2 linked regions of the Arabidopsis thaliana genome follow. The protein of the gene in region 1 purifies or fractionates together with the protein of each later gene. This does not show direct contact. Each region holds a gene or a part of one and is shown on either strand. Other genes may lie near its edges. The genes, in order: HDT4 and AT5G08630.

What was found.
Region 2: the proteins of HDT4 (region 1) and AT5G08630 fractionate together in Arabidopsis thaliana (co-fractionation; one large-scale study listed by BioGRID). This does not show direct contact.

Annotation. Positions count from the first base shown.
Region 1 is NC_003071.7:11,859,657-11,864,454, forward strand, and holds HDT4 (histone deacetylase-related / HD-like protein), read left to right. Parts: upstream 1-2,149; 5' UTR 2,150-2,428; coding exon 2,429-2,441; intron 2,442-2,871; exon of another isoform or gene 2,872-2,885; coding exon 2,886-2,956; intron 2,957-3,048; coding exon 3,049-3,269; intron 3,270-3,381; coding exon 3,382-3,401; intron 3,402-3,485; coding exon 3,486-3,521; coding exon of another isoform or gene 3,522-3,595; exon of another isoform or gene 3,596-3,614; coding exon 3,615-3,673; coding exon of another isoform or gene 3,674-3,721; exon of another isoform or gene 3,722-3,764; coding exon 3,765-3,906; intron 3,907-4,001; coding exon 4,002-4,051; 3' UTR 4,052-4,252; downstream 4,253-4,798. Other genes in the region: AT2G27830 (uncharacterized protein), read left to right, coding at 1,078-1,650. UniProt on the Arabidopsis thaliana protein: Probably mediates the deacetylation of lysine residues lysine residues on the N-terminal part of the core histones (H2A, H2B, H3 and H4).
Region 2 is NC_003076.8:2,797,217-2,804,973, forward strand, and holds AT5G08630 (DDT domain-containing protein), read right to left. Parts: upstream 5,956-7,757; 5' UTR 5,771-5,955; exon of another isoform or gene 5,462-5,770; intron 4,944-5,461; 5' UTR 4,923-4,943; coding exon 4,810-4,922; intron 4,581-4,809; coding exon 4,408-4,580; intron 4,173-4,407; coding exon 3,763-4,172; intron 3,669-3,762; coding exon 3,590-3,668; intron 3,361-3,589; coding exon 3,023-3,360; intron 2,865-3,022; coding exon 2,404-2,864; intron 2,318-2,403; coding exon 2,122-2,317; intron 2,022-2,121; coding exon 1,860-2,021; intron 1,771-1,859; coding exon 1,682-1,770; intron 1,510-1,681; coding exon 1,359-1,509; 3' UTR 794-1,358; downstream 1-793. Other genes in the region: STRS2 (DEA(D/H)-box RNA helicase family protein), read left to right, coding at 60-332; FLS1 (flavonol synthase 1), read left to right, coding at 6,793-7,259, 7,331-7,658, 7,744-7,757.

The sequences.
Region 1 (4,798 bases):
TTATTTTTTTTGTTCGTCGAACCTTGCAAGAGTCTTATCTCCAGTCTTACCCGGTTTAACTAGCTAGTGCTTAAATAAGTCTTGTTTATAATTTGTAAACTTTCAAAACTAGATATCGTTATATCATCTATCTTATGATAATTAATACAGAAATGAGAAAAGCAACATAAATACATACTACATAATAAAAATACGTAGTTTTCTAACATGCTTTTATTTCACAAAACATAGAAAAAAAACTGTGTGCACTTTGTGAAAAAGATTGTTTTGCTTCATGCATTTGTGAAATAATACATATCAGATCAATTTTATGTATCGTACTTTGAATTCATAAAAATTGTCTGATTCATGCATTCAAATCCATTATGAAGTTTTCTGTTACAAATGCATCTTTTAGTAAAAAAGGAAGTATATAATTAAAATTCATTTGAAGTTTTCTGTTACTAATGCATCATGTACATGAATATACTGTAGTAAAATTTCTACTAAAGGGAATGAACTTATTCTCATAATTACTTTGATTTCACAAAGATTACACAAAATCAATTGTGTTGACCAAACTAAAATACTACTACTAAACTTAATTAAAAACAATGATAATCATTGAGTATTTCAAGAGGTGAACACTATATTACAAAGTAACCAATGAAAATAACAAAGAGTCGAGTCCAAACCAAAACCTTAGTCCAAATTGGTTTCTACGACCCAGTGGATATAACAATTTCATAAAATTCATAGCCACCGGTTAAACCTGGACCCAATACCGAACTCACACACATAACTGAAACTCCAGTTCACCTCCTATAGCCGGTTCCCTTCTCTCACACTCTCAGAAATTTCCAAGCAATTTCTCACCGTTTCGTTATCTACAAATCCACTATAAATACTTCACTCTTCAGCTTTGTATTATTCTCTTAACATTCCATTACTCTTATCCTTTTACCCTCATCATCCTCCACTATTTACAGTTTTGCCACTCTGACTTTATGCTAGCTTCTTCCGGTGACTGGCGATAACACGAGAGAGCCTTCGCCTTCTCCAAGCTTCATACTCTTCCGACGATAAAGATTAGAAGACATGAAGAACGGTAACCGGAAAACAACGCCGGAAACAGAGAAGTCTCACCGGAGAAAGTTATCAGAGAAAGCGATGTCGTTTCACGGCAGAGGAACAACGCCGTTATCAAATCCAGGCGAGCTTCGAAGACCGAAAACGTTACCGGAGTTATTCTCCACCGGTCAAAGCATCACCGTACCGGAGACGGTTTCACTTCCGCCACGTTTGACGAAACTTTTACTTAACGTGACGGTACAAGGAAGTTTAGGAGCCGTACAAATTATAATCTCGCCGGAATCCACCGTGAGTGATTTAATCGACGCCGCCGTTCGTCAGTACGTTAAAGAAGCTCGCCGGCCATTTTTACCGGAATCTGAACCGTCACGATTTGATCTTCATTACTCGCAGTTTAGTCTTGAGAGTATTGTAAGAGACGAGAAGTTGATATCGCTAGGGTCGAGAAACTTTTTCTTATGTGGTCGGAAAGAGACCGGAGGGTTTATCGGCTGTGGTTTATCGTCGGAATCTTGTTCTAAGGAAGCAGAGAAAGTGGCTAAAACTGGTTTTCATTGGCTCAAATTTATGGGCTTCTAGAAGTTTTTATCATTTTGAATTATTGCTTTTTCAAATTAGTTCCATTCTTTAGAAAAAGGATATAAAAAACATCTGTGTATATTATTTCTATGTAGAAATGAAAATCATTAATTAGTGGTGTATAATGTATTTTAATCAATTATATACCAAGATGATTATATGAAGTTCTAAAGTTTACCAATACTATTTTGATGAAATTCTTATTTTATTATATAGTTGAAAATCTATAAAGCATTATTCGTGGATGAATATAGCCATGAAATGGGTATTATAAACTGAATAGAACATTGTATATTATATATTATCTTTTTATAATATCTTTTTTGGACCTCTAATAATAGAACTTTTGCATTCTGTTTATGTGATAACGACATTGCCCAACCTTATCCCTAAAGTCAGACATTTTTGAGTAAACCAATTTGATGCCGTGTTGCTCTTCCTTCTCTTATTTGTTTAATCAACATTCTTTCTCTTTGATCATTGAAGCAAAGTTAATTACCCAAATCATAGGCAACTCTTATGACATGGCTATAAAATTAAAATATATCTAAAACCCATCAAATAAGGCCGATTCAAAATAAGCCCACTAAAAATAAGGCCCATTAATATACTATTCCAAAAGAAGTAACTAAAAACCCTACCTGTGAAAAGGAAGTTTAAAGGAGTAGTAAGAGTAACCTTATAAATAAGCCGCTCCATTATTTTTGTTTGTTTGAAACAAACTCTAAAACCCTAAATTCTTCTTCTCAAGCAGCCACATCTTCCTCTTTCACTAGCTATGGAGTTTTGGGGTATGTCTCTCTCAAAATCATATCTTTATTAAGTTCTACTGAATACCTCAATGACTCCTATTGACTGTTTTCGCCATTAAAGTTAATCATTTTGGTATTCCTAAGTTCGTTCTGTGATTAAAAATCTGGTCTTTATACAAAAGCTTGCCTTTCTTCTGTATTGAATTCTCTCTATTACTCAATACGCATTTTCTTGTGTTCAAAACTATACAATTGTTTGGGAATATTAGCATTCTTAGTGTTTAGGTTTCAATGCATCTATCTTTGTGAGGTTATGTTTCAAAGTATCTATCTTTAAGAGTTTATGTTTCAAAGCATCTATCTTTGTGAGTTTAGGTGTCAAAGTATCTATATCTTTGTGAGTTTAGGTGTCAAAGCATCTATCTTTGTGAGATTTTGTATGAATTTGTACTCAAATGTGTGATGAATAATGTTCAATTTTAGGTATCGAGATTAAGCCAGGGAAGCCATTTAAGGTGATACAAAAAGATGGATTCATGGTCCATGCCTCTCAGGTCTGTATCAGTTTTGTAATTCCTGCAAGTTTCTCTCTTTGTGTAAATCCATGATTGATATTGATTGTGTTACTTGTTGTAACATCTCTTAGGTTACCCTTGGTGACGTTGAGAAGGTTAAAAAAGATGAGACTTTTGCCGTTTATGTGAAGATTGGTGATGATGAGAATGGGTTTATGATTGGAAATCTCTCACAGAAGTTTCCTCAATTTTCTATTGATCTCTACTTAGGGCACGAGTTTGAGATTTCTCACAACAGTACAAGCAGTGTCTATCTTATTGGTTACAGGACCTTTGATGCTTTTGACGAACTATATCCTTTCTTTCATTGTCTTTTTCTAGTTAAATTCATACTCACTTGCAATTTTGAAGCTTTGTTTGTTTATCCTTGATTTTGTTTTGCTCTGCTTTTTTCTGATGCTCACGGATGAGGAGATTGATTCTGGTGAGTTTATAATTCTTTAGTTGATGATTTGGTTTACTCTATTATGAAGCTTGAAGCTAATCTTTTGCTTTTTGGTTTGTGTAGATTCTGAGTTAGATGAATATATGGAACAACAAATTGGTATGTTTACTTTTTTTACTAAGCTACTGCTTTGTGGTAGTCATATTTACATGTGTATCTCTTATGAAATCTAACTTTGACATTGTTGAAAAGCTGCTTTGCCTCAAAATGAGATCAATCCTGAAGAAGATGATGAATCCGACTCAGATGAGGTAGATTTTTCTTTTAAGTATTTACTGATTAGCAATGAATCAGTATAAAAAAAAAGGTAATCTTGTTGTTTTTTTCTGTATGTTTGGTTAGATGGGTTTGGACGAGGATGATGACTCTTCAGATGAAGAAGATGTAGAGGCTGAAGCACCTTTAAAGGTGGCTCCTCCGAGCAAAAAGATGCCAAATGGTGCATTTGAGATAGCTAAAGGTGGAAAGAAGAACAAGTCATCAGGTAACGAAAACTAAAGTTAAGATATATAAAGATAACTTTGCATATGAGATGAGAATTGTGGATTATTGATTTGGTTTAAAACCATTTTGGTGCAGGAGGGAAGAAGAGATGCCCATTCCCTTGTGGTCCCTCTTGCAAAAAGTAGAAGATATTTGCACACCAAGTCACATTTTTCCAATAGAAATTTTTACTTGACTGTATTGGTGAATCGTTGAGTGACTTATGAGGCTTTTGGCATCTTAAAATTTTTGGATTATTATAATATATGTTATGTTGTCATTTTGGAGTGTTAATGGGTTTAAATGAAATATGATTTTTGCTCTTTTCAAGTTCATAAAATTTCGAAGTTGCTGGCTGATTCATGATAAGTACTATACAATGTCGATATGTTATGATCTAATCTTGATCGCAATACTAAGTAGATGGAGTATATTAAATCAGAAATAGTTGAACTAGAATATGCTCTAACAATGTATTTTATGTACATGAGTTAGAAAGAAAGAAAAAAAGACTCATTTTCTTCTAGTTTGCTTTGCCTTCATTGAATTAAAAATTCAGTGAAAACAATTCAAAATATAAAAATAATGATAATGCGTCTGCCGGGAGTCGAACCCGGGTCTATTGCTTGGAAGGCAATTATCCTAACCGTTGGACTACAGACGCTACTTGTGATTTATATATTACAATTTAAAAATAAAATCGAATTTAATTGTCGAGCGTTCCAAAACTACTAGACTTTCTTTCATACTCTGTAGTCCACTTGTTTTTTTTCTGAACGAAACACAATGTGTTACTTGACAGAAGATAATTACATTTGTTCTTGTACTTGTACACATGTAAAACGAAGCATTTTAAAATATACACTCGAACATTTATCATTCGCTACAAACGA
Region 2 (7,757 bases), on another chromosome or scaffold:
TCTTAAGAGTATGTAACTCGAGTGAGCATTGATGGGTGTTGAAAACATGTTAAAATCAGGTGCAGAAAGGGCTTATCCAAGTGGAAATGACGAACAAGGAGGCGGCATATCAGGCATGGTTGGGTTACTACAAATCGCAGAAGAAGATTGCTAGAGACACGACCAGACTGGTGGAGTTAGCTAATGAGTTTAGCCGCAGTATGGGACTTAGCATCCCTCCGGCTATCCCTGTAAATATTCTTGGCAAGATGGGTCTCAAAAACGTTCCTGGTATTAGAGTCGCTCCAGGTTTTGACAAGAAACCTGCAAAGAGAAATTATCGTTCCCGCTAGATTTTCTCTTTCTTTGCCTAATGGTATTGTTTGTGTTGAACTTTATTGCTTTTTTGAAGTTTGGCATTTTGGTAAAAGTTACCTTCTTAAGAATTTCATTTGGTAATTTACTAATTTGTCAAGATCCGGTTTGTTTCGGAGCCCAAAAATCCGAAAATAAAAAATTCAGAAAAAATAGAAATTTCTTTGGTTAACTGATCGGTTCATCTCTTCCAAAAAATTATCTAATCGGTTCATCTTACCGAACCGAATTTGTTACCCAAAAAGAAAGAGTTCCGATTGGCTTTTTGGCTGAAAACTAAACCTGACTTGTAGTCCTTGGTTTGCTTCTGAATCATAGCTAGGCTGTTCAACATTGTAAATTCTGTCTTACAGCCCACAGGTGTGGGTGTAATTACCTGGATTTGAAAATGAGAACTGACTTTCTTCTCCGAGTAGTTGTATACTGTATAGATTCAAATGTCGAACTACCAAATTCATGTTTTGATTTTTTTAAAACAAAAAACAAGGGTACAACGATGGTCCTAAATGTTTATTTTGGAGCTAAAACAAAGATGACATGCCATCAAATTTATCAAACCGCACTGAAAACAAAAATAAGTCAAAAGGTTTTAGCCTAATTAATCTAAGTCTTCTGTAACAAAGCTTAGAAATATAGCCACCAACCAAAATCAGACATAGATGCAAATCTGCAATGAAACATTTTAGGAATAGTAATAAAACTTCTAATTTCCCCGGAAAAAATAAAAAATAAATGGTACCTCGGTATCATAGAGTACTGAAAAGAAGGTGATGATGAATGGTAACAGAAAAACAAAACAAAACCCAACACCATCTTTCTACTCAAGCGTTGCCTTCACCATACCATAAGACTAATGCCTTTTTGTTGTAACTTGTAAAAAGCTCTACTAAACCCTAAAGGAGCCAAAGAAAAAACAGAGAAGACAAGCTGAAAATGGTAAGTTTTGGCTATGGCTGCAACTGCAACTACAAGCTTTTCCTATACAGAATTGAATTCTGCTACGTTTAGTCCTCTTTCCACTTGTTAACATATCTCAAGAAGGCACTAGCTGGATTTTCATGTAGTGGAGCTCTTACACGGGTAGATCTCCTAACCACTGCTTCTTCCATTTCTATGTTGTGAGCAATGTCCTTCGTCCTCTTTTGTAGTGTAGAGCTGCAAATCACAAGTCATCGCCAGGTTTTAAAGCCATTACACATAAACAAGGGGACTTCGATAAATGTGGTGTTACTCTTCTACATGTGCATTAAAGTGAGGGTAGAACAAGTTACCAGAATAATAAATACTGCAGATTATGCAAAATAGAAATGGGAAGCTATAAACTGACCATATTCTGTCATAGAATATCTCTAGTTGTGTATATAATGACAGTTCCCTCTCTCCTTTACGGTTTAGTGACCCCATCAATGCATCCAGCTGGATCTCAAGTAACATACACAAATCGGAACAAGAACTATACAATCCATTTATCAAACAAAGAAATGAACCACGTGGATTGATGATACCTCTTCCTTGGCGGTATAATAGCCCCATTCTTCGGAATCAGAATTCTCAACAAATATTCTCCCATTGCTTCGGAACCACCAGTACCTGTTGTAGTCCCGATCTTTACCCAAGGGGTTTGTACGTATGACTATTTTCTCCATCTCCCGCTCATAATATTGCCTCTGCATGTATACAAAAAATTTCAGACTTGATGGGTAAAAAAAGCACACACGGGGAATATATGCAAACAACCAAATATAACTATGAGGGGACGGACTTTACCCTCTGTTCGGGCCCCCTCCTTTCAAAAGTTCCTTTCTCATCTTCGCTTGCAGATTTTACCTCCTGCTTCTTCACTGAAAATCCTTTCTCCTCTTCGTCCTCCTCTGCTTTCTCATCCTCCTCCTCCTCTTTTGGTTCGATTTTTGTATCCGTCATCTGCCTTTTGTGCTTTCTCAGATAGACATTCCCTATAAGCCTATCACAACCATAAGAACAATGAGCTCCCACCAAGTCATCCAAAAACAAAATGTTCTGCTTATGTGTAAATAGGATAAGCCAAACCTTTTCTCTGATTTTTCAATGTTTTCCGAAGAAACAGACCCATTCTCCATCTTGCTTCCCCCTGCAGTGCTCTCATTCTTTTTGCTGTCTTCACTGCTTTCTAATACTTGTGCGCTATTTTTCTTTTTCTCCAACCTATTATTGTCTAAAACTCCATTAGCTTCCTCACCAGTTTTGGACCGTTCTTTCTCCTCTCTTATCTGTCGGGCCTCCGCCAATGCTTCTTCTCTTCTAGCAGCTCCAAGGGCATGCCGTTGTTCAACAAGCTCATCTATTTCCCCCTTGAACATACCTGTTTCGGTTATATGGTTCACTAATTCCCTTAAGATTTTCAATTTTACATTTGGGTCCAAGAGACCATAATGTCCACGTTTGATCGTTCCAACATCGAAGCACAAATCAGGAGTGTTGACTGATTCCAGGAAATCACAAAGATACTCTGCCCACGTGATCAATGTTATCTGAAATAAGATGAAATAAAGCAACAAGCATGCCATCAACCACAAAAACAAAACTGAAAAATCACAAGGCTGGCGACTTAATGTTGAATGAGAAAAGCATATTACTGTGCGGCCTAATTTGTTAGCCAAATATGATTTTCATGAGACGAGGATCTGACCTTCGACTTGCGACTCCTTCTCTGTAAAGCTTTGAAACTATCACCACGTTCATTGATGAGGAACCGAAAAAGAGAGGCATGCACTTCCATGATAAGAACCAAATTACTCTCCTTGTGGCAGACAGCATTTTCAAAGTCTTCAAGAGAAAATCGCCATAGATGCAGCTGCCTACCAAATGAGGTACAAAAGTCCCAGACCATAAGAAGATCCCCAACACAATCCATAGGAACACTAAAATCCCGGGAAGGAGAAGGACGCTGAGTGACATCAGGATCAGGTGGCAAAAGTAAATCTTCGATTGGGTAATTGATAGCCTCTTCCTCAGACCCATTAACCTCTGGAAAGAGAAAACCAACAAAGAGAAATCAGTTCAAAAGTACACAAAAAAGACCAAATTTTTCTCTATTCCTCAAGTCAACAATATTCTCCATAAGCTCAAGAGAACACGTAAGATTATTGATGTCAGCTATAAACCGGAAATGTAAATGATATCGCAAAGGAACTTTTGGCCAACTTTAGAAAACATTGAAATGGAAATGAATTGCAGAGCATCCATGCAAAGCTACCTCTATCTGTCTCCTCTGCAACATGTTTACCATTTTCTGCTCTCTTTCTTTTTCTATTTTCCCTTCCGGTTTTATCTTCCTATAATTTAGCGATGAGACAAAACTGATTAGTACATAGACCAATTATTAGGCCATGCTACAAATTATTGTATGGCGGTGTACTTTATATCAACCTGCTTCCTTTGTTGAACCAGTTCTCCATTCTGAAAGACATATTTGTTCTGAAGTTCCTTGGGAATCTTTCTCGTGATTTCATGTGCTTTAGCCAGGTAATCATTTACTACCCAAGGTATACTGTGGCATGTGGAATCTCGAATGAAGGACTTCAGAAAATTTCTACTAAATGGAAACTTCTTCCATGACAGATCCTCCCCAAAGAGCACTGTGTTATCATCTACTTCCTTGTTTTTGTCAAGGAAGCCTACCTCATACTGAGGTTTACTATCCCCATCTGATACTATCCTCAAGATTTTGCAAGGATGCAGTTCCCCATCCCTTTCCCCATACAACTCTGCGCCAGGGAAAAAGCAATCTTGCAACTCTGTCGCTATTTTGTCAGCAAGATCTTTCAATGAAAGCGTACCTTTTCAAAATGGAGGAAAAAGAGTCAGAAATAATGCTCATAAACCAGAGATTTCAAGTATTAAGAAAATTATCTTACACAAACAAATTCAAAACGGTAAAAAGGTAGTCCTGATTTGCAAAACTTATAGAGAGAAACCGAGAAAGGTAAAATCAAGACTTGGACACTCTGCAAATCAAGACTTCGACACACTTATATCACATAAAAATAATCAATGAAGGAGTTAAAAACTTACTGAATTGGATGATGCGTAAAGCAGGTGCAACTAGCTCTCTGGGCAGAGTTTGAACCTTCTTGCCTGCCAGTTTTTCTGAATCTAAGGCCTCCTCGTAGCTCAAGCTAGTTTTACCAGTAGACTTACAAGTCCAAACTCGGTTGCGATACAGATTTAACCTCTTCAAGTACAATCTATTTTATGTTAAGCAAACAAATAGTTCTGACACGGCATGTGCACTGATAAACATGAACAACCAAGCCTTTGAAGAATAATATGAATAAAGGTTGTCCCAGAATGAAACAGGCAAACAGAATTACAAGTTTTAAGCTTATTTCTCTTTCCTCTAACTGCACACAGAAGGAGAAGGCAAATATTCAAAACATAAGTCTTAAAATTGTAACAGTTACAGAATAAGGATACTGATAATCTCGAAAGATCTCATTTGTTAGACGAACTTGATAGACAAGTTCTTGAGGCTCCAAGTTCTTTGGGGGCTCCAGTAGTTTATGTGACTTCTTTTTTAGTAGAGGCATCCTTCAAATGGCAAAACCAACCTGCAGTGTAGACAAAAATGAATGGTCTATATAAGTGATTCTCATATTCACTAATGTGAAATCCTAGTAAATGTAGAACCAGGTCATCCAAGCAAGAAGGGAATTGTATACAAAAGCAAGACGTCACAGTTGTTCCAAAGCGGAAAATGTAAACCATGGAGAACAGAAAATCAACCCATAAGGCGTTTAAGGTGACACAACGGTCAAGTAAAACTTAGCAAACGTACAAATTTGTGGCACAGAATGCAAATGATTGCATGCAAGCCTAGAGCTGATTCTAATTTCTACTGAATTCGACAGAGCCTATGGAAAAGCAAGTGGTACTTGTGAGATCATGTGCAAAAAAGAAAAGCCAATGAAAAATGTTAAGAAAAGCAATGCAGAAGAAACCGAGATAGCACTAAACCCTAGAAAAATCGCAATCCCAATCGAAATTAGAAAAGATCTGAAACCATGGGACAAAATTGACACTTGAGAGCAAAGGAACCAAAACGAAACCGAGGAATCAAAACACATACCCAAGAGAGATCGAGAAAAAGAAAGCACTATCATGCGCCACTTTCGGAGAATCCAGAAGGCGAAACGGACAAGTAAAACACACAAAAAGCAGTCAAAAAAGCATAACAACACATGTAACAAAGAAGAGACGAACACAATCATCAATAACAAACAAAACGGAACGAAAATTCGAAGCTAATGCAACGAAATCACAACGAAGAAAGCAAAATCGCAGAAGAAAAGAGGATCGATGTTCCCGCCACAACAAAGAAAACGATTGGAGAGAATTATAAACAACGAAATTAGAGAGACTCAATCAAAAATCTTACGGAGAATGTATGAAATTGGGAATGCGCGTCGTCGAGAGAGAGAGGTGGTCTCTCAAGGAAAGAATACAAGTGTTGAGATCTCACCGTCTCTCTTCGTTTTTCTCTTCGCTCTCTCTCTCTCTCTCTCGCTCTCAGCTCTTTTTGGTCGTCGTCCTTCCTTATGGGAAAGACGGGAAAAAAAACTTAATATGCGAATTAGCCTCTCACCTTTTTTTTGTTATTTTATATCTTAAGTAGCACTCGGTTTCCTTTTTTTGTTTATACAGGTGTTGCTGTTTTAGAGCCCTATACTGTAGTTTTTCCTTTTTCTATAGTAGCCCAATAACTGGGCCTTGTCTTGTTATATGGGCCTTGAATCTTTAGCTTTAAATGGGGTTGGATTTGAAACCAGTATTTTATTCATTGCTTACGATTTAAAATGGTAAAGCCTTAACTCTCCACCATTATTATTTGATTAAATTCCAAATGATGTTTGACCAAAAAAAGAAAACTTCAAATAACCCACTCTAGAAACCAAGTCATTAAATAATGTTTCCTGTGTAAAATTCATGGACCAATCGAAATGCAGAAGAAAATCTTTACAGTAATTAGAATGGCCAACCAAAGTTTGTTGTTTTTGTTTTTGTTTTTGTCAACGACTCAAGATGATATTTATTTGTGTTTACATGAACACCCGCCAAAAATATGTACTAAAATATCTATTTCAAATATGGTATTTTATGGCCTAAAATATAATAACATCACTTTTTTCCTTTTCTTAAAACTACCACCACAAAACAACAAATCAAATTAATTAAATTCTTCATCCATAAATCTATCAAAACTTGGTACCAAACTCGTGAGTGACGAAGCCTCGACGACTTACACATATCAACACGTACTTTATGTGGTAGTTGTCTCTATCCAGCGGCCAAGATTTCGCCACGTCCTCACTTCCTCCCTCCTTAAAACCACTCGTAACACCATCCCCCAAATTACATATCCGCCATTGTTTCCGGCAACGCAAACTACCAAAAAAAATAATGGAGGTCGAAAGAGTCCAAGACATTTCATCTTCTTCTCTACTAACAGAAGCAATCCCGTTGGAGTTCATCAGATCAGAGAAAGAACAACCAGCGATCACAACATTCCGAGGTCCAACGCCGGCGATTCCCGTCGTCGATCTAAGCGATCCCGACGAAGAAAGCGTGAGGCGCGCGGTGGTGAAAGCGAGTGAAGAATGGGGGCTATTCCAAGTGGTTAACCACGGGATTCCGACGGAGCTGATACGACGTTTACAAGACGTCGGAAGAAAATTCTTCGAGCTTCCTTCGTCGGAGAAAGAATCCGTCGCTAAACCGGAAGATTCGAAAGACATTGAAGGATACGGAACAAAGCTTCAGAAAGATCCAGAAGGTAAAAAAGCTTGGGTCGATCATCTCTTCCATCGAATCTGGCCACCGTCATGCGTCAATTACAGATTCTGGCCTAAGAATCCACCTGAATACAGGTAAACCAAAACAGAATCATCAAAAATTCAAATTTTGTAAACCGAAGTTAACCGTTGGTTTAATGTATTAGGGAGGTGAATGAAGAGTATGCAGTGCATGTGAAGAAGCTATCGGAGACGTTATTAGGGATTCTCTCGGATGGATTAGGGTTAAAGCGTGATGCGTTGAAAGAAGGTCTCGGCGGAGAGATGGCGGAGTATATGATGAAGATTAACTATTATCCGCCGTGTCCTCGGCCGGATTTAGCTTTAGGTGTACCGGCTCATACAGATCTCAGTGGAATCACTCTTCTTGTTCCTAACGAAGTTCCTGGACTTCAAGTTTTCAAAGATGATCACTGGTTCGATGCAGAGTATATTCCCTCCGCCGTCATTGTTCACATCGGCGATCAGATTCTGGTCTGAACTTTATTATGATTCTTGTATAAAAATGTAGATTAATTTATAAAATGTTTTTAATGGATTGGTTTTGTGAATTTTGCAGAGGTTGAGTAATGG